Linked DNA regions of Oryzias latipes. The protein of the gene in region 2 purifies or fractionates together with the protein of the main gene of each other region. This does not show direct contact. Links are inferred from orthologs where the notes say so. Each region holds a gene or a part of one and is shown on either strand. Other genes may lie near its edges.

What was found. The genes of interacting proteins can lie anywhere in the genome.
Region 1: the proteins of putative transcription factor p65 homolog (region 2) and hdac2 purify together in Homo sapiens (affinity purification with western blotting; 8 studies listed by BioGRID). This does not show direct contact. The link is inferred for Oryzias latipes from reciprocal best matches to the Homo sapiens genes RELA and HDAC2.
Region 3: the proteins of putative transcription factor p65 homolog (region 2) and cul2 purify together in Homo sapiens (affinity purification with western blotting; 3 studies listed by BioGRID and IntAct, with this or other methods). This does not show direct contact. The link is inferred for Oryzias latipes from reciprocal best matches to the Homo sapiens genes RELA and CUL2.

What each region holds. Positions count from the first base shown.
Region 1 is NC_019882.2:21,611,974-21,619,895, reverse strand, and holds the start of hdac2 (histone deacetylase 2), read right to left. Parts: upstream 4,455-7,922; 5' UTR 4,335-4,454; coding exon 4,280-4,334; intron 2,081-4,279; coding exon 1,968-2,080; intron 1,791-1,967; coding exon 1,673-1,790; intron 1-1,672. Other genes in the region: hs3st5 (heparan sulfate glucosamine 3-O-sulfotransferase 5), read right to left, coding at 7,278-7,922. UniProt on the Homo sapiens protein: Histone deacetylase that catalyzes the deacetylation of lysine residues on the N-terminal part of the core histones (H2A, H2B, H3 and H4).
Region 2 is NC_019876.2:27,222,634-27,230,312, reverse strand, and holds the end of putative transcription factor p65 homolog, read right to left. Parts: intron 7,121-7,679; coding exon 7,016-7,120; intron 5,186-7,015; coding exon 4,970-5,185; intron 4,892-4,969; coding exon 4,811-4,891; intron 4,726-4,810; coding exon 4,642-4,725; intron 3,154-4,641; coding exon 2,348-3,153; 3' UTR 1,756-2,347; downstream 1-1,755. Other genes in the region: UPF0696 protein C11orf68 homolog, read left to right, coding at 718-1,458; UPF0696 protein C11orf68 homolog, read left to right, coding at 1,455-1,458. UniProt on the Homo sapiens protein: NF-kappa-B is a pleiotropic transcription factor present in almost all cell types and is the endpoint of a series of signal transduction events that are initiated by a vast array of stimuli related to many biological processes such as inflammation, immunity, differentiation, cell growth, tumorigenesis and apoptosis.
Region 3 is NC_019878.2:9,090,796-9,098,571, forward strand, and holds the start of cul2 (cullin-2), read right to left. Parts: upstream 4,455-7,776; 5' UTR 4,330-4,454; intron 2,894-4,329; 5' UTR 2,872-2,893; coding exon 2,753-2,871; intron 1,956-2,752; coding exon 1,853-1,955; intron 1,758-1,852; coding exon 1,663-1,757; intron 1-1,662.

The DNA.
Region 1 (7,922 bases), on a different chromosome or scaffold from region 2:
GCTTCACCGTCTGCTGCAGGAGCTGCATCTGAATGACAGATGCTTTCAGCGGTACTTCTGTCTCTGTGACCCAGTGTGATGACTTGCTGTCCCTCATTAGTCCCAGGAGGGACTATAACGCGGTTTACTTTTCACGGTTTCACTTCTTCACGGATTTGCATCGTGCATTGTGTTCTGCATTCTGATTGGCTAAAAAGTCACTCTAATTCTTCTCTTCCTGTGCGTCAATAACGTTGCAGTTTAATTTGTACACGTACATAAAACAGCTTGCCAAATTTACATTATGTACGTGCAAATTCTCTTGCAATTTCGAGTATCTCTAAAACCCATAGAAAAAAGAGCAACAACTGCCTATCACTGTGTTCTTCTCCTGAACAAACACAGCTGCACCGCGGGCTTCAAAAGAAGAAAACACTGCAGAGCGGAGTCAGGATGCAGCGGCTCAGTCTGAATAGCAGTGAAATACACCTGACTCACTATTTGTCCCACTGTACTTTGTATTTTTTTTTATTATCATTTTAAATTTTCTCCCGTTTAATTCAATTACTCTCGGGTCGCGGTGGGCGGGGCTAATCTCCGCGATTTGAAGCCTTCTGTTCACATCGATGATTCAAATTATTATTTGACAGAACAGTACAGACGTTATTTGTTGAAAAAAAAACTTTTATAAAGTACTTTTATTTGTGAAACAAATGCTTGAGCCTGTAAAATGGTTTGTTCTTTCTTTTCAATGTATAATAATGTATAAGTATTTAATTGTATAATAATATTTAAAATAAAATAAAGGTTTCTACTTCACGGATTTTGCCTATTACAGGTTTTTTTGGAACGTAACCCCCGCGAAAAACAAGGGTTTACTGTATACTACTTGTAGAATCGTTTTATTATTGTCTCAATGATAATAAGGAAAGTGTGAAGTTCACGAAGAGAATGATCAGGTTCTCCTTCATGTCTGTTTTAGACTCCACCCACTGATCACCTCATCAAGACGTCACGGGCCAAAGCTGAGTCCCTGATTGGTTGAAGCAACACAAACTCTTTGCCATAGTTAAACTCTGGAAACATGGTGCTGCACTGTGAAATGTTGCCACACTGTGTAGCCCCACTGTCTAAAATGCCCCACCACTAAAGAACTGCACCCCCCTGACACTTAAAATGAGCCACGGGCCTTCTAACCAAATCTGTAGATTGACTTAACATGTAAACTAGATGCCATGACTTGCAAATCGCGTTTGGTATGAGCCATTGACTATATAAGAAAACTGGACTGAGTGGCCCTCCTCCCCATGGCATTCCAAACAGGAAGTACCTGCTGGTTCCAAAAAGCCAAAATCGCAAAATCCAAAATCGACTTTTATAGAGAAATAAACAGCTGTTCCTCAGTCATTCTATTGGTCAGAAGAACCATACTTTTTCTGATGACGTCATCCCTTTTGTTTTTACATCATTCTATAGTTCAGGTTATGCAATTCTCTAGGTTATGCAGTCTATAGTTCAGGTTTATCACTTATAAAGTGACCAATCAGATGCCTCAATAAAAGTAGGTGGTCCCACGTCCAGCGTTGGAAACATTTGACGGATTGTAGCTTCACTGACAATCCACTTCACTTGACTTGTATCCTGTACAAAATGCTTCCTTAAGTTTGTCTGAACGTCAACAGAGCCCACTCACAGCGCTGCATCTGCTTGCTGAACTCGGACATGTTGTCTGGCCGTATGGATCTGAGGAACTTGATGTAGTCGTCACTGTGGTATTTGGTCATCTCGTCTGCGGTGGCTTTGTGTGGCCTCTGAAACCAGGAGAAAGGTGGAAGGGAAGAAACCAGAACTGAATGAAAGCAGGAGCGAACACAGAACTAAGAGCAAACCGCCAAGCTAAATCGACGTTTCCTAATGTCTGAAGTCTGCTGAGGATCAGGTCACATGGAGACACGCTCCTCACAGCAACAGAGCACAGGAAAACATACATAGATCTCCATTTTTCTGTAGAGGCCATAGTTCAGGAGGAGGTTGTGAGTCATGCGGATCCGATGTGGCTTCATGGGGTGTCCTTGTCCATAATAGTAGTTTCCAACATCACCTAGACACAAGAAAAACACAAAATCAATGATGCAGATTGCCAACATTAGCTCCACCAGCTTTTCTGATTCAACTGTTGGCATCTGTGTTGTTCCAACAGAGAACATGAGCAGCAAACGACAGAGGAAGACAACTCAGAGCACTGATCTGTGGAACAACCGAAGCTTCAGAACGATGACTCACATCCTCACCGTTATTTATTACTGCTCAGTAAACAAACCAGGAACAGTTTACAGCAGACAGAAAACGGGACTGATCCCTGTCCAACAAACTGGACCCTCCCAACCAAAATGTACTCTGACATCTCATAATGTCAGTTTATTCTTTACATTATGATTTCAGTCAGATTATTAAAATATGAAACCGCTCTAAACAAGTGCCAGTTCTAATGGGCTGAACTTTTATGACACTTATGTTCACGAAGATCTACATCTGCATCAGTAATCTAGTCATTTCAAAGTGATGTGCACGTCATTAGTGCACGTGGGACTGCTCTAAGCTAAATGTGACCGCAGAAAAAGGTGAAGTGAATTGCTTAAATGAACATGGTGTTTTTAACACGTTCTGGCAGCATTATTCTGAATATGAAGAAAATTAAACAGAAAATTGAATTTCCGAGTATTTCTTTGTTCAAACTGTTGTGAGTCAGGAGCGGATAAAAAATATGCAGTTGGGAATAGCTATAAGCAAGCCCCAAGCTCCCTGTTCTGTTCCACTCTAAAGGCCTGTTCACACCGGGACGAATTTCGCCGGCGATTTTCGCCGACGTTTAACGCCTCGTGACTAAACAAAGGGCACCAACGAGAGTGTGCACATCGACGCGAAAAAACGCCAGGCGTTAAAGCGTCCAAAAAAAAACGCCTCGGGTTCGTTTTTTTTTTCCGACGAAATCTACTCGACCAATGAGAACGGCGCTTTTGCTCACGTGTCTGGAGCTTCTGAAGTTACAGTAAAACACAACTTGGGGGCGCTCAAACACAAAACTGCCTTGCTGAGCACACATACCAGCGAAGAAGATAGACGCCAAGTAGCGTCTACACAGCCGCGAAGCAATAATGACGGACATTCTAAAACATCCCCGAACCAAGCACCAGTTGGAGCTACTGGTGCTTGAAATATTCATGTTTTCTTTGTTTGATTCTGACAAGCGTGTAAAAACTTGCTCTCTTCTTCTGAGTGAAAAGCGACTTTAAGAAGCGTAAAGTTGCGCAGCGCCACCTTGTGTACAGGAGTATTTCAGTTTTACATTAAGCGCCATCTAATGTCAGGGAATGAAATTGCATGTTCACTCCACTCATCGTCAGCGAAAATCGCCTGGGTGTGAACACAAAAAACGTGGCGAAAAACGCTGGCGAATAACGCCTGGCGAATATTCGTCCCGGTGTGTACGGGCCTTAAGGCATCCACCTGCAGACTAATGGATCCATGAACGTCTTTGTTTTCCTCGTCTGAGCTGGAATCGGGATAGATCTGATATTGGCCATCTTTTTTGTTGCACTGCTAATGTGAGGATGGGGTTGTGAGGGGCTGTAAGCTAGTGGTAGAGTAGAGTGTAAACGGGGGGGGGGGGGGGGGGTGCTCTGCATCAACAGTCCCACCCACAACTCAGAGGTTAATGCTCTGCAGAAACTATGTCCCAGAAAACAACACAGGTTTTTGATTTAAAAAAAAATAATAACTTAAAGCGATCGGACACGCTTGTGTTTGGACCTGAACGCAGGTTTAGAGCCACCCGGGGCTTCTGCAGACGGTCACGTGACGTGTAGGTGAGCCAGGCCGCGCGTGCTCGTCTGGAAGCAGTAGAGGCTGCCAGTCGTGTGTTCTGTGGATGGTTGCATTGTGGGACGGCAACCTCGTTAAAGACGTTAAAAGCTTTTCTCCTCATACGTTCCCGGATGTGGGTTCTCCTCGGTGGGATCTTGAAAGATCACAACAGAACGCCGGCTGAACTGCCTGGGTCTCAAACAAGACTGACGTACGTAGCCGTAACTCACACAACGAGGGGTGGAGACAGACGTGAGGCGCCGGCTACTTAACGTACAGTGCCCCCCTCAGATGTTGGCTTTACACCGTTTCAATGAAGCAGAAAAGACTTTAGCCCCGGAGAAATGAGTTCCGACCGTAACTGACCGATGCTAGCACATGCTCGATGCTAACAGCTAGCGTTAGCCTGGCTCGTGCGCCACACAGCAGCTCTTACCGTCGTAGTAGTAGCAGACCTTCTTCTTAGTTCCACCTGCAACCGTGTACGCCATGCTACAAGCTCCTTTAGCTCCACAGGTGAGGCTCAATTCGCGTTAACAGAAAGACAAGAGCTGGATGGAGAACATCTGCACGGCGTCGCTGAGTGGGAGGGGCTACGTGGGCTGGGCGGGGCAAGGTTGGGCTCCGCCCCTGCGCCCCACTTTAAGTTTCTTTGTCCTTGTTCTTTTGTTTTGCGTCTTTGGGGCAGGGCATCAACACATGATATGTGGATTGCCAGTTCTGTCTGTGGTAGTCTAGCCATGCCACCAGGAGATCATTTTAGTACAAGACTCTGCAACCTTCTACCCCAGTTTGAGCCTCTTCCTTCTGACAGACTCAGAGTCGCACAGCCCCACTTCACACTCAATTCATGCTTCAGGCACGTGAAAATCTCCTTTATCTGGACTTTGCTTTGCACTGTTGAACCTTATTTAAATTTGTTCTTCACCTCTGCTTCTTCAACTCCTCCCTCAAAGCCACAAAGCCCTTTTTTTTTTACTTACACCACTTGGTCCTCTGCTCTGGCCTTGTCCTCGTCTATGGAGTGATTTATGTGTCCCATTATTCCAAGCGTACTTGAAATACTTGAAATATTTTGTGTGCTCAAAAATATTTTGCACTTGAAACATAAAAATGCACTTGAGACTCAAAAATAAGTGCAAACAAAACAGTTTTACTCTTGAAACCTAAAAATATGTCCAATCAAAACAATTCTCTATGTGTCACAAAAGCCAGTTAATCACAGACATGGGCATAAAGTTTGATGCCGATTGGTCAGAAATTCTTCCAATCGCACACAGACCTGATCCAGTCTACGAGCCGTCTAAAGTCTACAGTTTTTGGGTTTTCTGGCCCGTCAAGAGTCGTAGAGAGGAGTGGCTGCTCCTTAAGATGTCTTGTAGTTCCCTTGAGGCTTGCACAACCACCTTAAAGGTTATTGTTTTGCATTTCGTAAGTACATGGTGAAGTATTTGTTAGGATAATGGAAGTTACAAACTGATGAGGTATGGGTGTTCTTGCTCAGGGGGGCGGAAAAAATGAAAAATCAACATGAAATGCCTGTGTCTTACATACTTCACCTGTGCCTGCCGTTGTGTGTTGTTAAAGTACCTGACGACCTGCCGCCCGCACCAGCCCGTAGAAAAACTGAGCATGAACATTCACTGAGTGGTCTACAATCTTGAAATTTCGTGCGGGCCGCCTGCTTGTCTCATACAGATTTGGCCCTTTTTCATCTGCAGACAGCCCGTGCCCACCCCTAAGAGCAGTTGGGACTAAGGCTTTAGCTTTCTCTTCTCAGCATCTACAGTCAAACTGGAGATTATTCATCCAATCAGGCAATTTGGGCTAAAAGATACTTTATTCCATCAGCAAGTTTCTTCTTTGTTGGAAATAATACAGATGTTAACCAGGAGCAGAACATTTTGCACTTGACTTGTCAGTCAAGCTGTAGCTCATGAAATCTCTTTTGCCACTGTGGTAGTACTTTCCAGAAAAAAAAAAATCTTAGAAAATACATAAAAGATTAGAAACCATGAGGAATACATGTTCATTTATCGCTCTTGGTTTTCTTAAACCAAGCTTTCATAAAATGTGAATAAGGATGTTTCAATAAAAATGGATTGGATGTTTCCAAACACTCAAAGTGCTTACAACATGTATCCATTATTCAGTCACTCCTCACTGAATGGCCATAGCTGCCCTGGGACAGACTGACAGAGGTCTTGCTGCCTACGGCCCCTCTGACTATCCCCGGGACATTCCTACGCATTCACACACCAGTGGAGCCACACTAGAAGCAGGCAGGGTAAGGTTGCCCATGGACACAACAACAGTTGGCTGGGGGGAGCGGGGATCCAACCACTGACTGATTATTAATACACTTCATTGAACGTCTAATCCACTCTGATATTTGAAGCACAGCACATATTACTTAAAAAAATGGAGTGTTTAGCCATTTAATGATTCAAAATGACTGTTGAGGTACAGGACCTGATCCAATCACTTATCCGCAGAGCTTAGTGGTACATTAAGGTGAGATCATCAACAGGATGTACAAGAGGAAACCAAAACACAAATAATTCCAGAAAGGTTTCCATGTTCTTTAATCCACTTATTTTTTAACAACACATGTATTACAGTGAATATTTGCACATGGACACAGAATAGAAGTGGTCTGACAGACGTCTAAGGCCAGCTCCAGATTTTCTTACAGCTTCTTGTAGCTTTTTTTTTTGCTTTTGCTAGAATTAGATGAAACAGCTTTTAGAAACAGCAAACTTCTGTTTAATCCCCAGAAAGTGTCAAAGCTACAGTAAATACTGAAAACCTAAAACACCAGATCTTTATTCTTGAAACTCTAAAGCCCTTTGGACAAAGAATAATAAAAAAAAAGGTTGTTTAACAAATGTATTTAAAAATCCTGTGATTGAAGAGCATGAACCAAAAGAACTTACACAACAGTGAGCTATGAAATTATAACATTTGGATGTCATGGGTAGGACATGCAGTTTGGATCATATAAACAATGTGACAAAGAATTTGTTTGTTCATTCATTCACTCATCTGAATTCACTTATTCATTTCTTCACTCATTCATTTATTTAAGAATTCACTCATCCATCCATTCATTTCTTCTCTCATTCATTTCTTTCATTATTCTGAAGTGTGTTATCTGAAAAAAAGCGTCAGTCTTAAAGCTAATTACACCAGCATGAATTCCTTTAAAAAATAAACACTCGATTTAGTCACAGAAATCGTTTGTTTCTGGATGTGCATGAATGAGTGCTTTTAGCTATTTTTATTTTAATTCTCTTCAGTGAAAAATGATTTTGCTAAAGGAACTTTCAATTTGATCATTTTTTTCAGTAAGATCAACTCATAGTTCAATTAACACTTAGAAAAATGAAAACAAGATTCCACTAAATAATCTCATTGCAGGACTTTGTGACTCATCAAGGCCAGTTGAATGTTCTGCCAGTAATCTGATAAAATTTCTGATTGAAGGGATGAAAGAACTTCTGCAGTTTAGTCACCACAGCTGGGTCCACCTCAGGATGGATGCGACCCTTGCTGCCTGCTAGGCACTTGCTGAAGACAATGTTGAACCGCAGACAGTAAAACCCCCTGGTGACATTGAAGTACAGGTTGTACTGGCTGATCCTGGACGGGAGGTTGAGGAAGTGCTCTACCAGCTGCAGCTCCGGCAGTGGGTCTGTTATGAGGCGATCCCCATCAACAATGTGGAACTGTTCCACAGGAAAATACTTCAGCCAGCGCTCCAAGTGTTTGGTGTAGATGCTGGTCCGGACAGCTTTGTACTTTGTGTTCACCTCACAAGTGTTGGAATCAACAGCTAATTTCTCAAACTTGTGGTAAGTTTTGTTTTTGCGCTCTTTTCCCTCCAACACCTGCGTGTAATCAGACACCGCTCTAGTGGTGGGCTCCCGTACGATGATCAACAGCTTGATGGAGGAGTTCATCTTGAAGATGCGCTCAGGAACTTCCTCTGTGATGAAATACGCAGGACTTTTCTCAATAGTGATCTGATGGGGGAAGGAGTAGGGCATTTTTCCTCTGTACCACTCGATGCCACGGGC
Region 2 (7,679 bases):
CATTTTTCCCACTGATGACTTAAAATTCCGGTCTTTCCTGATCTATGCGTGATATCCGTTATTTTTAAGTGTTTCTTGCGTTCGCCATTCGTCAATGTGCGCAGATTTCTGTCGAGGGTTTCGGTTGACGGATCTTTACGTGAATTTGATTTTGAGCTGTTTAGAAGACCGCAATATCCGTAAGATCTGACCTCAACGGTTCTGCTATCGGTACTGGAGAAGTCGCATTTTTTATGTGTCCCGCAACATTTAAACTGGAGCTGTGACGGTGTGGGATTCTTGATCACCGCGCTGATGAAGCGGCAGGAGTCGCATGAACCACCGATGTATAACTTTTATATCCCGTCTACGGCGCACCTCTCACGGTAAAATTATATTATTTACGCACAAATCACTTATGAATTGCATATAAACAGCACAATAATCACACGGTTCATGTTGTGCATTGATTTACGTGTTCTTTGCGTGGTGTGTTTCAATTTCACTTAAAGACCACGACTTTCCTCACTTTTTCCACGTATGACCATTTTTATCTGAGCAATATGTACTTAAGGAACGTAGTGGGTGTGTGACACGGCCTTAAGATGCTGCTCCAAAGTTCAGCCTCTGTGTTGCATAAGTCTCCCTCACTCGTGCCGTCATGAACACAACTCCTGCTTTCTTTCAGCAGGGAGCTCCACACTCCTTGCTCGGTTCCAGTCTCATCTTTAAGGCATCATGGAGGAAGAAGAGGCCTCTGCCAACGGTGAAAGGGAGAACTTTGCATCAGATCACTATGCCGCCGAAGCCCTGGCTGCAGACATGGATCCCTGGATTATTTTTGACTGCAGAAAAACTCCCAAATCGGAGTTTGATGCCTGGCTGGAGAGTAACCGGCCCTCCCAAGTGCACAGGTTTGGTGACGAGAAGAGTGGCGTCGGCCCCGTGGGGTGGATCTCTGTGAGGGGCCCCGACTACCATCCCAGTGATGAGGACGTTGAAGATCTTCAGGAGAGCTGGGAGAAACTCCTGGCCAGTGGCAGACCTGTCACCTTCCAGACCGTGAAGGAGCTGGCCCTCAACCACAGAGTGCTCAGTGGGAAGTGGCTGATGCACCTGGACTCTGGTTTTAAACTGGACCACGCGTGGGAGTGTGTGGCCAGAGCAACCTTGGAGGGGAAGATCTGGTGCGCCAAAGTCAGCCCCTTGGACCCGAAAGGAGACAGTCGCCACGTCATATGTGTCTATAACAGAAACTTCACCGACGAGGAGGACGTCATGAAGCTGGACTCCGTCATTCGCTCCACGGGGATCAAGTGCCCGCTGTTCTACAAACCCGACGTTTACACCTACCTGGGAATCTACCGAAGGAACCGCTGGGAACTTAGCCCCACCATTTATGAGAGCAGGTTTGACCTGGAGTGCGTCCCCCGGCGTTCCCACATCCTCAACAAAGTCACCAACCTGGAACTGACATAGTCCAGTCCGGACGGGCAGCGCGTTTGGTGGGACTGACGCCTAAGAGTTCTGCTCCTGTTTACCGGGCCACGGAGCGGCATTTGCAGATGTTTTGATCTTCCTTTATTTTGCTTTTTTGGAAAGAAACCAATCTGTAATTCCAGCAGTATTTGATTTGCACTCATTTCTTGTGGTTGGAACAACCTACGGAGCTGGAAGGGTGACAGAAATCTGAACTTTGAGACGTTTTTGATAGTTTGAGAGAATTCGTTCTGTTTGAACCACGATCAGCCAAATAAAACACTTTTGAAGAATTCCTTTACATTCTGTCGATTTTATTGTGAAAAAAGGTTAGGCATAATGTCTGTGTGTGGAGGGGGGGGCTGCTGACCAAAAGCAAAACAGAAAAGTCGGTTCTTTGGACAGTAACCGTAGAAACACCAGGATAACAGAAGCAGGAACACGGACTGGTCTGCAAGCACATGTTCAACCTGTAAATATTTACATGTAGACCTTCATGTGGTTCTTTACACACGCAGACAAAACCTTCGGATGACACTTCAAACCAAAGGGACACTTGATAAAAAAAAAAGGGTATAATGCTAACATGCCAACATACCAGGCTGTTCATTTTTGGATTCAAAACCCCAAACTTCCTCTAAAAACAGCAGATAAACTTGTTCAGATACAGTACAAAAACCTGCCAAACACGTGTCAGCGAAGCGACGCCATCATCAGCTGATGAACACGCGCGGGTCGTCTTCCACATAATGGTTCTGTAATGATAAGGACATGATCTGAATCTGTGGTTGGGGGGTTTCTTTGTCCACAGTGAGCGGTCTTTCTGTTTCCCCTTGGCATCTTTTCAGTCCTGAAGGCAGAAAGCAGAAGTCTTTGGTGAAAGGGTCCTTTAGGTCTGGCGTCCCGCCACAAACTCGGCGTGATTTTCATTTTCGTAAATGGACATGAGGCGGTCGTCGTCGGCGGACAGCAGCTGGTAGTCGTCGGGTTCTGCGTAGCCGCTGTGGTGGTTGTTGAGGGGGGCGGCGTCCATCATGCCCTCGCTCTGCAGCAGGTTGACGATGCTGTTGGGGTAGTTCATCCAGGTGCTTCCTGGGTTGCCAGCAGGGTCCGAGGGGTTCTGGCCCGCTGTGGGATTCTGGGGAGGTGCGGTGGCGTGGGGCTGCTGGCCCGAACTTCCAATGGGAACGGCGCCACCCCCGCCCACGTTCAAAAGGTCCTCAAAGTCGTCCATGTTCAGGCTATCCAGGGTGATGGGGACCTGGCCCTCAGAGAAGCTGGGGAACTCTGGGAGGTCGTCTTCTGCGGGGTTTGTGGAGAACTGCGAGGCCTGGAGGGGGAAGGAGCTGCTGGCCTGAGGGGGCGCACTACTAGCTTGAGTGGCTTCTGCCTCCTGATTCATGGGGGACAAAATGTTGGGGAAGAACTCCTGAAGGTCTGCTATGTTGACTGTGGGGTATTGGTTGCTCGCCGTGGAGGCGCTGATGGTGGTGGAGGAGGAGGGAGCGGCTGATGAAGAACTCCCTGCGAAGGGGGTCTGTAAATCTTTCTTCAGAGTCTCCATAAATCTCCAGGGTTGGCTTGAAGTTGCGTCGGGGAGCTCCCTCTTGTGCGGCGCAGGGGCCTGGATCGGCTGAGTGAAGAGGAAAGGGGCCTGTGGTTTGGCTGCACTGGCACCAGGGGGCGTCTCGGTCCCTGAAAAACAAACAGTTTCAGTTCAACAGCTGCAATTCCACTCTATCCTTACATACAGGCAGGCGGCAACAGCCCCGCCCACAACTCAGAGGATCATTTCTAACAAACTCCTGCCGCGCTGCAGAAACTATGTCCTGGAGACGACCGCAGATGTTTAGATTTAGGCCAAAAACGTCATTAAAAGATTACTGTTAACACTTTGAAAATAGATAAAAACATGATCAGAGTGAAGCTTCAGTAATATTTGCAGTAACTAAAGTTAAGGAACAGTTATTGTCCAAGTTTTTGTGTTTTAAGACCAAGACTCAGCCAGAGCCGCAAAGTTCCACTACATGTTTAGAAAATGTGATTCATGTTTTTGTGGCCATCGAGGCATTCATTCATAAAATCTAGCTCGTAAATATTTACTATAATTGAATTATAACTGTGTTATGTTTTTCTATGTAGAAACAAATTTAAGATATTTTACTTTTGACAGCATTACGTACGTAAGTTCCTTTCAAAATAAAACATCCTGTGTCAAATGAGAGCCTCCTGCTACGGAAGATTTACTTGAAAAAAAATACAAGAAACCCAAGTAAAACCATTGACTGTATATGAGAACTGGACTGAGTGACCCCCCCCCAGCGTTCCAAACAGGAAGTACCTGCTAGTTCCAAGAAGCCAAAATAAGCAGTTGTTACTCAGTCATTCTATTGGTCAATAATTCTTGATATGATACATTTTTATAAACGTATTAATCTTTTTCAAATGATTTTTTTTCTGTAGTTATTCAAATTATAAAAGGACCAATCAGATGCCTCAATTAAAGTAGGTGGTGCCCTGTTGAAATTTCGAAACATTTGATTGACAGATTCTACTGAGTCTGCTTATAAGTCGTAGGGGTGTGGCCTTCGAACAATTTCACTCCTGATTGGTGAGAATAGTTGCAATAGAAACGTTGGCTCAGCTCGACTCGGACCAATCCAAAAAAAATATTAAATAAAAGGCGACTGAACTGACTTCATTTGGTTGGAGGCTGAAATAAACCATTTTCTATCAATGACATCACTCAGTCCATTTCTCAGATACAGTCGACAAGTCAAACATCTCCTCTTTTTTTGTCCTTTAGCTGTTTATTAAATATAAACATGACAACATTGGCGTAGAATCCGGATTTTCTGTAAAAATCTATGCATATAGATGCAATTCTTTGGTTCTGAATGACTGCATCTGAAGATCAGAGTAGGAGCTCTACACTCATTCTTATAATAAGCTACTCTGACAGTAGATGAAACCTTTAACCATCACAGGCTCGGTTACATGACTAAACTTCATTAAATAACCTATAATTTCTTCAAGCGATTAGCATTTTCTTGAAAGCCAAATTGTCCCAATAAAGGGTTGCAGACCCGTGTTATTTTGTTTTCAGTGGATTTTCCGTAAATAACAACATTCAAACCTTAAAGGAACAACATCAGATGCAAAATATTTAGGATCAAAACTCACCGGTTGACACATTCACAGAGGAAAGTTTAGGTGGGACTGTTCTCCTTGCAAAGTTCATTTGCCGCCGGTCTGATGGGATGGAAACTGAAACAACAGATGCCGTTTTTTTGGTCATAAACACTTTAACAAAAACCTTCAAAGAACAGCTAACAGTATCTAGTGAGCGTACCACTGGACAGCATCGACCCCAGCTTCAAGTTCTGGAATACATCTGCTGTCCGCTTTCTCTTCTCATTCAGCCGGTATTCATCTTTAGGAAGAGTGAAAGATTTCACATGAGGATGAATGCATGACATGTCCTAGGAAGGTAGAGATGTGTGCATCTTACCTGGGTCAGCTGGTAGGTACTGGAAGTCCACAGGCTCGCTCACTTCACGGTCAGACGGCCGCCGAAGCTGCATCTTCACCTTAACTGGCTCAACAAGGTTGGTGTCACGGTAGGGCGGCGTGCGGAAGACGATCGCCACCTGCCTGTGCACGTCCGCCTGGGAGAAGGTGCCCTTCCCCTCCCAGGAGTCCTGGAAGAAACGCACCTCGATGTCCTCTGCAGGGAGACGGGAACATGGGAGAACACCAAAGAATTGAGGAGTGTGCGGTGCTTTGACAAATCCCAGCTGGTCACAGAAAGACACCGCCGTCTCTGGAGTTTCGCTGGTAAACCAGCTTCCGTAGGGCAGCAGTCTGAAAAGCCGCCTGAATGCTTTCCTCACACGTGAAAAGGCGAATTTTCAAAGATCCAACTGTGCTGATGCACCAACGGCTTTAAGGCGACAGATTCCTGTGCTGACGAAACGTGAACGACATCAGTACCTGCAAAGCTGTGAGGTGCGAGGAAGATAAAGAAAACAAGGGCAGAGGACCAAGAGGTGGAAGTTGAGAAAGGAAAAGTGCTGTTTGGCTTTTAGGGAGGAGGTGACACATACTATGGGAGATCGGGAGGGTCATCTGCAGCTAAAGTGATCATGGAGCCAAGGAGGGTCCAGATGTGGACCGCCGGTGTAGGTACCATAACCGTTCGGCCTACAACAACCGTCAGGGGTCCTTCGAGTAGTGCTGAGGTCACATTATGTGATTGGCTGTCCGTTGGTCCGATGACGTTTTAGATAGTGATTGGTCTGGACAAATTATGACACTACCATAGAAAAAGACATTATGAAGTCCAGAGTAAGCAAACAGAGCTCCGACACAGAGCGGGGTTATCTTGTAAACGTGCTTTTATTATTGTTCTGATTATTATTAAGTCCATTTGTAGCCAAACGGCCTGCGTTCTGAACCCTTCTCCGGACCGAACACTCTAACAAAGCACCTTCCCCGCCTATGAACACGAAGCTACAAGACTCTGGCTGCTCTGATCAGAGACACGGTTCACTCTGTGGAGCAGCAGGTTCATTCTAACAGCCACAGATCTTCTTACAAAGTGGGTTGTGGCTAAATCTCTCTATAAACACTACAAACAATAATGTAGGACAGAACTTATGAAGGAAAATAACTTTACGTTGCAAAAAGAAACGTGAAATGAAAATATGTAGAGCCCGAGCAGATCTCCATGCTACATAGTTTGTCCAAGTGGGGCCACCGTAGTGTGACTGGAAGGACCCCGAACGGTAGTTGTAGGCCGAACAGTTATTGTATCTACACCGGAGAGAAGAGTCTGTTGGTCCGGATGTGGACCGCGGTCCGCCATTTGGTGATATCTGGTTAAGGGGCTCTGAGGCAGAGCTGGAGGCAGCAGAGATGAAGATGCTGAGGTTCTCTTTTGGAGTGGTCCGGGTGGATCTGGAATGACCATCAGAGGAACAGATCCTGGTTGTGGAGATCAATGCAGAGAAGCAGATGGAGAGGGTTTGGACAGGTTGAGAGGAGGAACAGTGATGATGTCGGCGAAAAGATGCTGAGGTTGGAGCTACCAGGAAAGAGAGGAAGACCAAGGAGGAGGTTCGTGGAGGAGGTTGTGTTGAGTGTTCCCAGAATGCAGAAGGATGTAGTTTCTGTTTTACTAGTCTATATCTGCACGCTTTCACATTTAACCCCTCGACGCCTAAAAATGCAAATATGCATCAAACCACTTCTGCTCCAGTCTTGCCTTAATTTAGCATCGAAAGCAAAAACTTAAGCCAATGTTTTCACAGCTGGTAACAAATTCAGGCATCAAAGGGTTAAGACACGGAGGAACACAGCATCAGAAAAGTTTGATGCTAAGTTATGAGAGCCCTCATGTCACTGGGAAAAACAAACAGACCTTGATGTGATCATTTGGTACTTTATTTTGAAAGATTCTTTTGTAGTAGGAGCCAGCGGACATGGTCTGTCGACCCCGTCTGCTGCAGAGCCCCCTCACGCATCTGCAGTAACGTCTGTTTGGTGGAAGCCTCACCTTTTTGCACTTTGTCACACAGCAGAAAGATTTCATCGCCTCCTTTGCAGGTTCCAGAGTTCCGGTTGATTCTGCAGATCTTTAACTCGGCTGTGTTTGGCGCCCCTGCAAGAAGCAAAAGTATTGAAAGACGGATACTTTCAAATAAAGAATTGTCTAAAGTTGTCCATTTGGGAAGAATTTGAGTTTTGCAAATTAATGTCAATTCTTCAAAGGTGGTCAAATCATCTTTTGATTTATTTTCAAAGTGTTCCCAGTGGTCCTCTAATTATGAGTTTGCCGTTTGTAGACAAAATAAAGCATCTGTTTTTTGGACAAAGTTTCTGCAGAGCGGTAGGAGTTAATTAGAGATTCCCCTCTGAGTTGTGGGCAGAACCGTTGCTGTGGAGTAAGCACGACCTCACTTCCCGTGATCCATCTGTTTACACTCTCACCTGCTAGCTTAACCTAGCATTAGCGGTGCAACAAAAATGGCGAGCAATATTGGAGCTATCCAGCCGTACAGTTTGGAGCCAGATTCCAGCTCAGACGAGAAAAACGAAGACGTTCACGCCTCTATTGGTCTGACAGTGGATGCAGATACGCTCGCAGATGTGATCTTTTTCAAATTACATTTTTCATCTGCTCTTGATTCACAATGATTCGGAAAACAGAAATACCCACA
Region 3 (7,776 bases), on a different chromosome or scaffold from region 2:
GGATGTATCAGAATGGAGCGGAGCAGGAAGTGTGTGGCACGCCCAGCGTATTTTCTACGTCCCAAATAAGCTCTTTTTTAAAAAACTTTTTTCCTCTACCCCTGATTCACAACAATTTGTATAAACGAATACTCAGAAATGCAATTGAGCTCAATTTGCATGGAGTAATATTAATGCCACCACGTTGCACACAAAACTTTGTGTTGCAAAAGAAAATATTAAACATTTGCATAAATATTTTCATTGGAGTGGGTCTAATGAATGAGGGCTTTGGGGTTTGTTGCCAAACTGACATTTTTTTCCTCCTTTTTTGACTGATGGTCTGTCTGACTTCCTTTGGCTGCTCCTCCTTTTCCACTGTTTCTGCACTAATTTGTTGAAAATTCAGGTTACAGTCAAACACTCACTGGTCTCATTTACAAAACGCTATGAAGTCATTTAAGTGCAAGGGCAGAGGTAAGGGGAATAAATACACATCAGAAAACCATACAGTTAAGAACAGAAAACATCTGTGAGCATATTAGAATTTGCAAGATGATATTTGAAATAGTTAGAATTAGTGTCTGGTGAAGTATTAGTTTAAACATGAGACTCGAGAATTAAAATCATTTACTAAAGATTAAGGATGGAAGAAGTATCTGAATGCAGAAAAATCAAATGCGAATTTTTAGTTGTCTGGCATCCCTGATTAGCGATCTTTATAAATATAGTAGTATAAATAACAATACAAGTCATGCAGGCAGTGTAATTATTAGTATAAAATGGCAGAATATTGATTGATTTTTAGTATACAGTGTTCCCTCAGAAGTAACTCTAAAAATAATCCACGATAGGTGAAATCAGTGAAGTAGTCATGTCTGTTTAGTACAATATTTTAGATGTTTAAAGGCTGTAAAACTCCTAACTACACATTTGATACACTTTTCTCAGACAGATATGAATATTTTCACCCTTTTCTCTCTTATTTAAACTCTCAAAGTTCAAACCTTCGTATAAAAATGAGTCCAGGATTATGGAATGAAAACAAAGATCTGATTGGGATTGAAGATATACATCCATCTATCAAGCTGATCCCATTCTATACAGGAGACACGGCACAGAGGAGATTGACTGACAGGGTCTACAGCCAATCAGGACACAGAACACAGTGCACCAACAAACAGAAAAAGGGCTGGAAAAGATGAACTGTGATATAGTGAGAAGCCACTATATCACATATAGTACAAATGATATTTAAATGTATAAAAAGCAATAAAAATCAGTGTCTGGCATTTCATTAAATATTTATCCTTTAAAAATGAAAATAATTTACAAAGGATCAATTATTATAGTGCTGTAAGGGAGTTTAAATAAACAAAAGATGGATCCAATACCTCTGGATTTCCCTTTAAAGAACTTCTTTGTTTCAATATTTTGTGTCTGAAAAATTCTTTCCTTTATTTATGTTACAATGAACATGAATTAAAATTCCACCGTATTCCAAATGAACAGTTTTTTTTGGTAAAAACAGGTTTCCCTAACTTAACTAAATTGGTTTTGGATAGAAATAAAATAAATAAATAGATCTAACAGCTGAATATATTCTGGATGGATTCAGTAATGTAGCAGTGTCCTCCAGCCCTACCCTGTTGCATGCTGGTAGATGTCAAAAAATACAGTTACCTGTACAAGCAGTCCATGTAGTCAGCGCCTTTGCTGTATTCCTCCCAGTATCTGTGGTACATCACTAAAACCTTTTCCTCCGACTCCAGAACTTTCTAGAAGTACATTCAGATATTATTACTAAAAAGCAAGAACTTATGGGGGAAGAAGCACTTCTTTTTTTTCTCCCGCAAGAGCGTGAAAGGCTTACCTTGTATAACTGTCGGACATGATTTTCAAGAAAAATTTTGGTCTCCGTGTATAATCTTTCCCCCAGGGGTTCTGGGTATGCAACACATAAGGCATAAATGTCGCTGGTGTCTGAGGTCAGGATCACAAACCAAGAAAACATCTTTTTTCAGACACATTTATCTCAACAATAGCTAATCTGTATTTAGAAAAAGATGAAGAACCCATCTACCCTATAAAACAGTGGTCCGCACCTTTTTCAGGCCATGGGCCGGTTTAATGTCAGACAAGAAACGAGGTTCAAGTGGCCGTCCGATTTGTTTTTTTAGCTAAAGGTTTTCCTTAACTTTTGAGGGTAAAGTCGATCTTCATCCTCTGTGAAATATTTGCCACTTCTCTAAACTTTATTTGTACACTAGATTTCAAGTAGGAACCATTAAAAAGGGATATAGATTTTCCCGTAACCCATAACTGTCAAAGTAGAGGCCAAAAAATCTGATGCCAACTTCAGCCTCGTCAGACTTTTAGGGTTCCACAAATATAAAAAATAAATGAATAAATAAGACATTGGTCCCTAAAACTTTTTTCTACTGAAACAAACTTTCCATATGTGTTTTTTTTAATGAACTTTGCCAGCCTGGGGGTCTCAATTTAACGGTCGGAGCAGCAGCTTTAAGAAAGTAGAGGATGGTTTTTTAAACGTGATCGAGCAACTTAACATGCATCAAGAATGAGTGGAATGTGGTGAAGAGAGTCGAGGACTTTTCCCAAATAAAACTTCTTTCAAAATCAGATGATAAAGAAAATGGGAAAAAATGTAGGTCGTGTTTTTTTCTCTCTCCCACGGACTGGCCTGGAGGTTGGGACCACCGCTATAAATTGCCTACAATCTTTAAAAAAAAAAAAATCTTTAAAAGGATACGAGAATCTGTCATTCCAGGTGGCTCTTTCAACATAGTCGAGCATCACAACAGCCTTGATTGTCGTCAGTAACTTGTTCCATGTTTCATCAAAGTCCACCACCCGCGGCTTTAAGGACATTGTAGTTTTTCCTTCAGCCTGACTGAAAAGAAGAAAAGAACAGGAAATATTGAAAGATGTTAAAGTCCCATTCCTTTAACTATGATTATGCAGCTTTTAAGTCCAAAAAATTAAAAAAAAAAAAACTTTCATTTTCTAGGCCATACTTTCTGCAGAGCAGTCCGCCCCACTTTCCATCACCCATCTACTCTCCCACTCTCGTACAACCCCTCACACACCAAGCCCAACATTACCAATGCAACAAAAATGGGAAGCAATATTGGAGCAATCCAGCTGTACAGTTTTGAGCCAGATTCCAGCTGAGACGAGGAAAACAGAGACGTACATGAATGCATCAGAATGGAATGGAGCAGGGAGCTTGTGGCCCGGTCACTGTAGCTTCTACGTCACAAATACGATCTTTTTCAGACAGCAGTTTTTCATCTGCTCCTGACTCACAACAATTTGAATTTAAAAAATACTCTGAAATGCAGTCTTAGGTTCAATTTTCTTTATATTATGTCCTCCACCATCAGAAAAACGCCACAAGAACATGTTATAAACACCAAACACAATTTTTACTGGAGTGGGTCTCTAAATGTTTGTTTTGACAGCACAGTCACCAAAATAAAGGCTGTATGACAAAAAAGAAACTGATAGTAAAAAAAAAGAAGAAGAAGGAAGCATCATCAAATACAAAACAAAAGTATACGAGGATTTCAAAACAGCACCTGGGAAATTAAACCAATAACACGATTTGAACATCTTTACCAAATAAAACATAGTAACAAGGACATTTTTAAAACAATTCTTTTGATCATGGAAACAACACTCCATAGCACTATTATGTCTGATAATCATTCTGTTCAACAAGAAGAGGCTAACAGCTAAATATTTTGGAGAAAAGTAAAGAGAAAACCTCTGAGCAGCAGCGAAACACTTCATAAAAAATCTATCAACGTTCAAATTAATGCAAGCAGTTGTAATTATTACGTCAAGTGGGAGAAAGAAGGCCCTGTATGTGTTCTTTCATGTTTGTCGTCATTCATTTCAATTGCTATAACGCAACATTAAACATCTCAACATTTGTCTTGAAAAACCACGTCAATATTTATTGTGACTACAATTATGCTACCGAATGCTGTCTCTCCATTTTAGCATCCCTCTGACATGTTTGTTGAACCTAGCTAAAAAAAAAAAGGTACAAGCTAGCGGAATGCCAATCCAAAAATAGGATGTTGAGCTAAAATGCTAGCTTACTGCGCGTTAGCATGTCACTTCTTCCTGTTCAACTGAAGGCAATTTTAAGGCAAAAGCTAGCAATTAGCCAGCTAGCTGGCGGCTAACGATTGCTCAGCTATAGTTAGCAAATTGTCATACAAGAAGTTTCCCTACGTAAACCTTGACATTACGGCAAAGCGTGGCGCTGATGTTGAAAAAATCTGATTACTTATTATAAGCAAAGACTTTACAACTAACCTTAATTCAGTAATTACTTGTTTAAAAACTCCGGTTTCTCCGCTGTCACAGTACTGATTTGACTCACAGGTCTTCCCAACCACTAGGAATATACCACTTGACTTAGGTGAACGTTACAGACAAGTGTTTATACTTTGTATGAATTTTAGGAAACAGTAATTTGTCTGAATTGTATCTAATATAAATTCATTAACAACAGATCATAGATATAAGCTTTACATTAACTAAAGCGCGGCAACGTTAAAAGAAAAACCCCAACCAAAAAATGGTATCGCCCAAAACTACGGAAACCTTAAGGAATCGAATTTTTCAAACACCGGTGTATTCTGTTTTTATATGCTCTATTTTTTTTGAGGGGAAATGTGCATTTATTCCATTTGTGTTTAATACAAATTAAATTAATTGATAAATACAAAAAATAAACACTTCATATTTGCCTCACTTTTAAATAAGTAAAGGTTTTTCCAGAAGCTACTTGTGCCAAAGTAGCTTGGCTTTGCACGTTCTTTAATCTCTTTGGTAAATTTTCTGTGATTTCTTTTATTACAAATTTTCACTCTCCCTTTTTTTGCTTTGAAAACATGCATTGTTTGGCTTCCACCACCATAAGAATATGCCGCTTAAATTTGAATACATCCTGACTGCCTGCTACTTCAAACTAAATCCCAAATGTTTCTTTATTTTTGTTGAAGGTCAGACTGTGTATTGAATCAATTAGTTAAAAAAAAACGTTCAAATGTCATAACTGACTATTAGTACTTACAGTGTTGTTCTTTATTTACTACATCCCTGATTAGCTAAAGTTAGTTTTAGTGCTTGTTTGAAGAAATATATCATAGCTGGTAAAATTAATGCATTTTGGACACAAATTTTTGTTAATCAAAACATTTTTAACTATAAATTTGCAATTTTTTTGTTTTGTTTTGCTCTGCTTTGTTAGAAAAAAATGGAAAATATTCAACCAGAAGAAGTTGTTTTTAGCTTTTACCAAAAACTTGAGGTATATTTTGAATTCCTTACAAGAGTATTTTTTTTTTGCTTGCTTAAAGAAGGAAGCTGTTATTTTACAAAAAGGAGGATCAGATGCTCCTTTATATAAATCTTCATTTTTCTTTTATACAAATACAGTCTTGTTTTCCATAGAATGACTTCCAGGGTGATGCAGCTAAATACAGAAGAGAGTGATCAGTCACAATAAGCTCCAGCTTCTCCCAGTTTGATTCCTTCTTACCTGCAAACTAACAACAGTAATGCAGGTAAACATGTCGATAGTGGTTAACATGACCACCTCCACACCCACTGGTTTGTGTTTTCCTTGGTCTTTCAGGGCTGTGTTTTGATTCCCATCTCGACTTTTCCCCTTCGGATCTTCAGGGCGTTACAGATAACCAGCCATTTACAAACAACCCACAATTTTTAATTGTAGGAGCCACAAACACGCCAGTTGGTCCAGTTCAGACAGGTAACCCCTGCTGTTTTCTCTTAAAGTTATTTGTTGTCAAATGTGATTTTTTTATTTGTTTTGTGACAGTAACAGCAATACAAATATATATATCCTTAATCTCTCCTAAAAACATCTAAAAATATTTTCCTGTAATCCATGTGGATTGTATTAAATACATACATTTATATAGACTATTTCATGCAACATTGTGCAAATCTCTCATTTCTTTTGTTTAAACAAATGTTTAAACAACATTTATTTTGAATTTTATAACCACTCTCATTCTTCAGTTTTGCATGGGAGCAGTTCACTCCCTAGTTTACAAGAATGACGCCAATTAACAAGAAATCAATTAACTATATTATATTATTACATTATACAGAGGTGTTATTAATGCATAATTTAGCTGCAGTAGCCCGGAAGCGTCTCCTCAGAGTAAAATGTCCTCAGTTCTAGTCTTTACTTACTGCCATTAAAAAAAAAAAAAATAGATCAAACAGTGAGGAGGATTCCAATCTGTGTGGTTTTCATGATATTACGGTTCGTCAAGATCGTTATTGTCTGTAATGGCAAAGTATCTAAATAACACAGAGTTGAACTTAACCGCCATTTTTTATTTTATGTCGCTGTAATTCAGATGGGGGAAGCTGTTGTTGAAGAAAACATAATTTTTTGTGAACGTGGAGTGATCCATTCTTTAAACAGTACAGATAAAGGAGGCAAAACTGTTGGGAAATGCGACTGGGAGCTAATCTTTTTTAATTATTATTAATCAAGTACAAGTATTCTAATCTAGGAGAGAAACTGAATGCCTACATCAGAGACATCAAGACCTGGATGACAATTGATTACCTCCTTTCTGAACCCACAAAAGCCTGAGGTCATTATACTAAGTCCTAAAATCCTCAGAGATGCTCTGTCTGCTCAGATAGTCTCTCTGGATGGTGTGAGTTTAGCCTCCAACTCCACAGTTTGAAACCTAGGGGTTCTATTTGACCAGGATTTATCATTTAATGCTCACATATCTCAGGCATGCAAAACTGCATTTTTTCACTTCATTATAGCTAAGATCAGAAATATACTCTCTAAAAGTGATGTTGAAAAACTCATCCATGCATTTGTTACGTCTAGGCTGGATTACTGTAATTCTTTGTTAGCTTTGTTAGCATGTCCTAAAATTTCCTTAAAAAGTCTTCAGCTTGTTGAGGAGGCAGCAGCAAGATCGTTAGCAGGAACTAACAGAAGAGAACACGTCACTCCTATGTTAGTTTCACTTCACTGGCTCCCAGTTGATTCTAGAATCAAGTTTAAAATTCCCCTGCTTACCTACAAGGCGTTACACGGTATGACCCCATCCTATATTAAGGACCTCATAGTGCCTTACCAACCAAACAGAACACCTCCCTCACAAAATGCATGTCTGCTTGTGGTTTCTAGAATTAGTAAAAGTACGGTTGGAGGTAGAGCATTTAGCCACCAAGCCCCTGTCTTATGGAATAAACTCCCAGCTCATGTAAGAGAGGCCGACTCAGTTTCTCTCTTTCTACAGGCTTATTGTAAGACTAGCTAGTGTTCAGATAATATTTACCTTACTGTTAATTTTTTTTAAATTAAACTTAACAATAACAATAAAGTTGTCACTAGGATGCCAGAAGTTTTAAGCTGGGGAAACTATGGTGCACTGGGGTTCTGTCCTCTAGTCTCGTCTACTTCTACTCTCTTTCTCTCCTCTATTCTTCATAATTTATTCATCATTTAGTTCTCCATGCCTCTGTTTGGTGCAGTGTGATTCGTGTACTTTCGCTCTGTGCTTCCAGATTTCAGTTGGCTCATCCGTGCTCCTGTACCTAACCGTGTACCTCGTCTCTGGTTCGTCTGCTCCTCCACTTGGCTGTGGATCCTGTCTCCGGCTCGTCTCGCGCCCCCAGCCGTCCCCCAGCTTCATCTGGATGAAGATCATCTGCTGGACTTTAAATATGTAGTTGTAGAGTTAGATAAGCTAA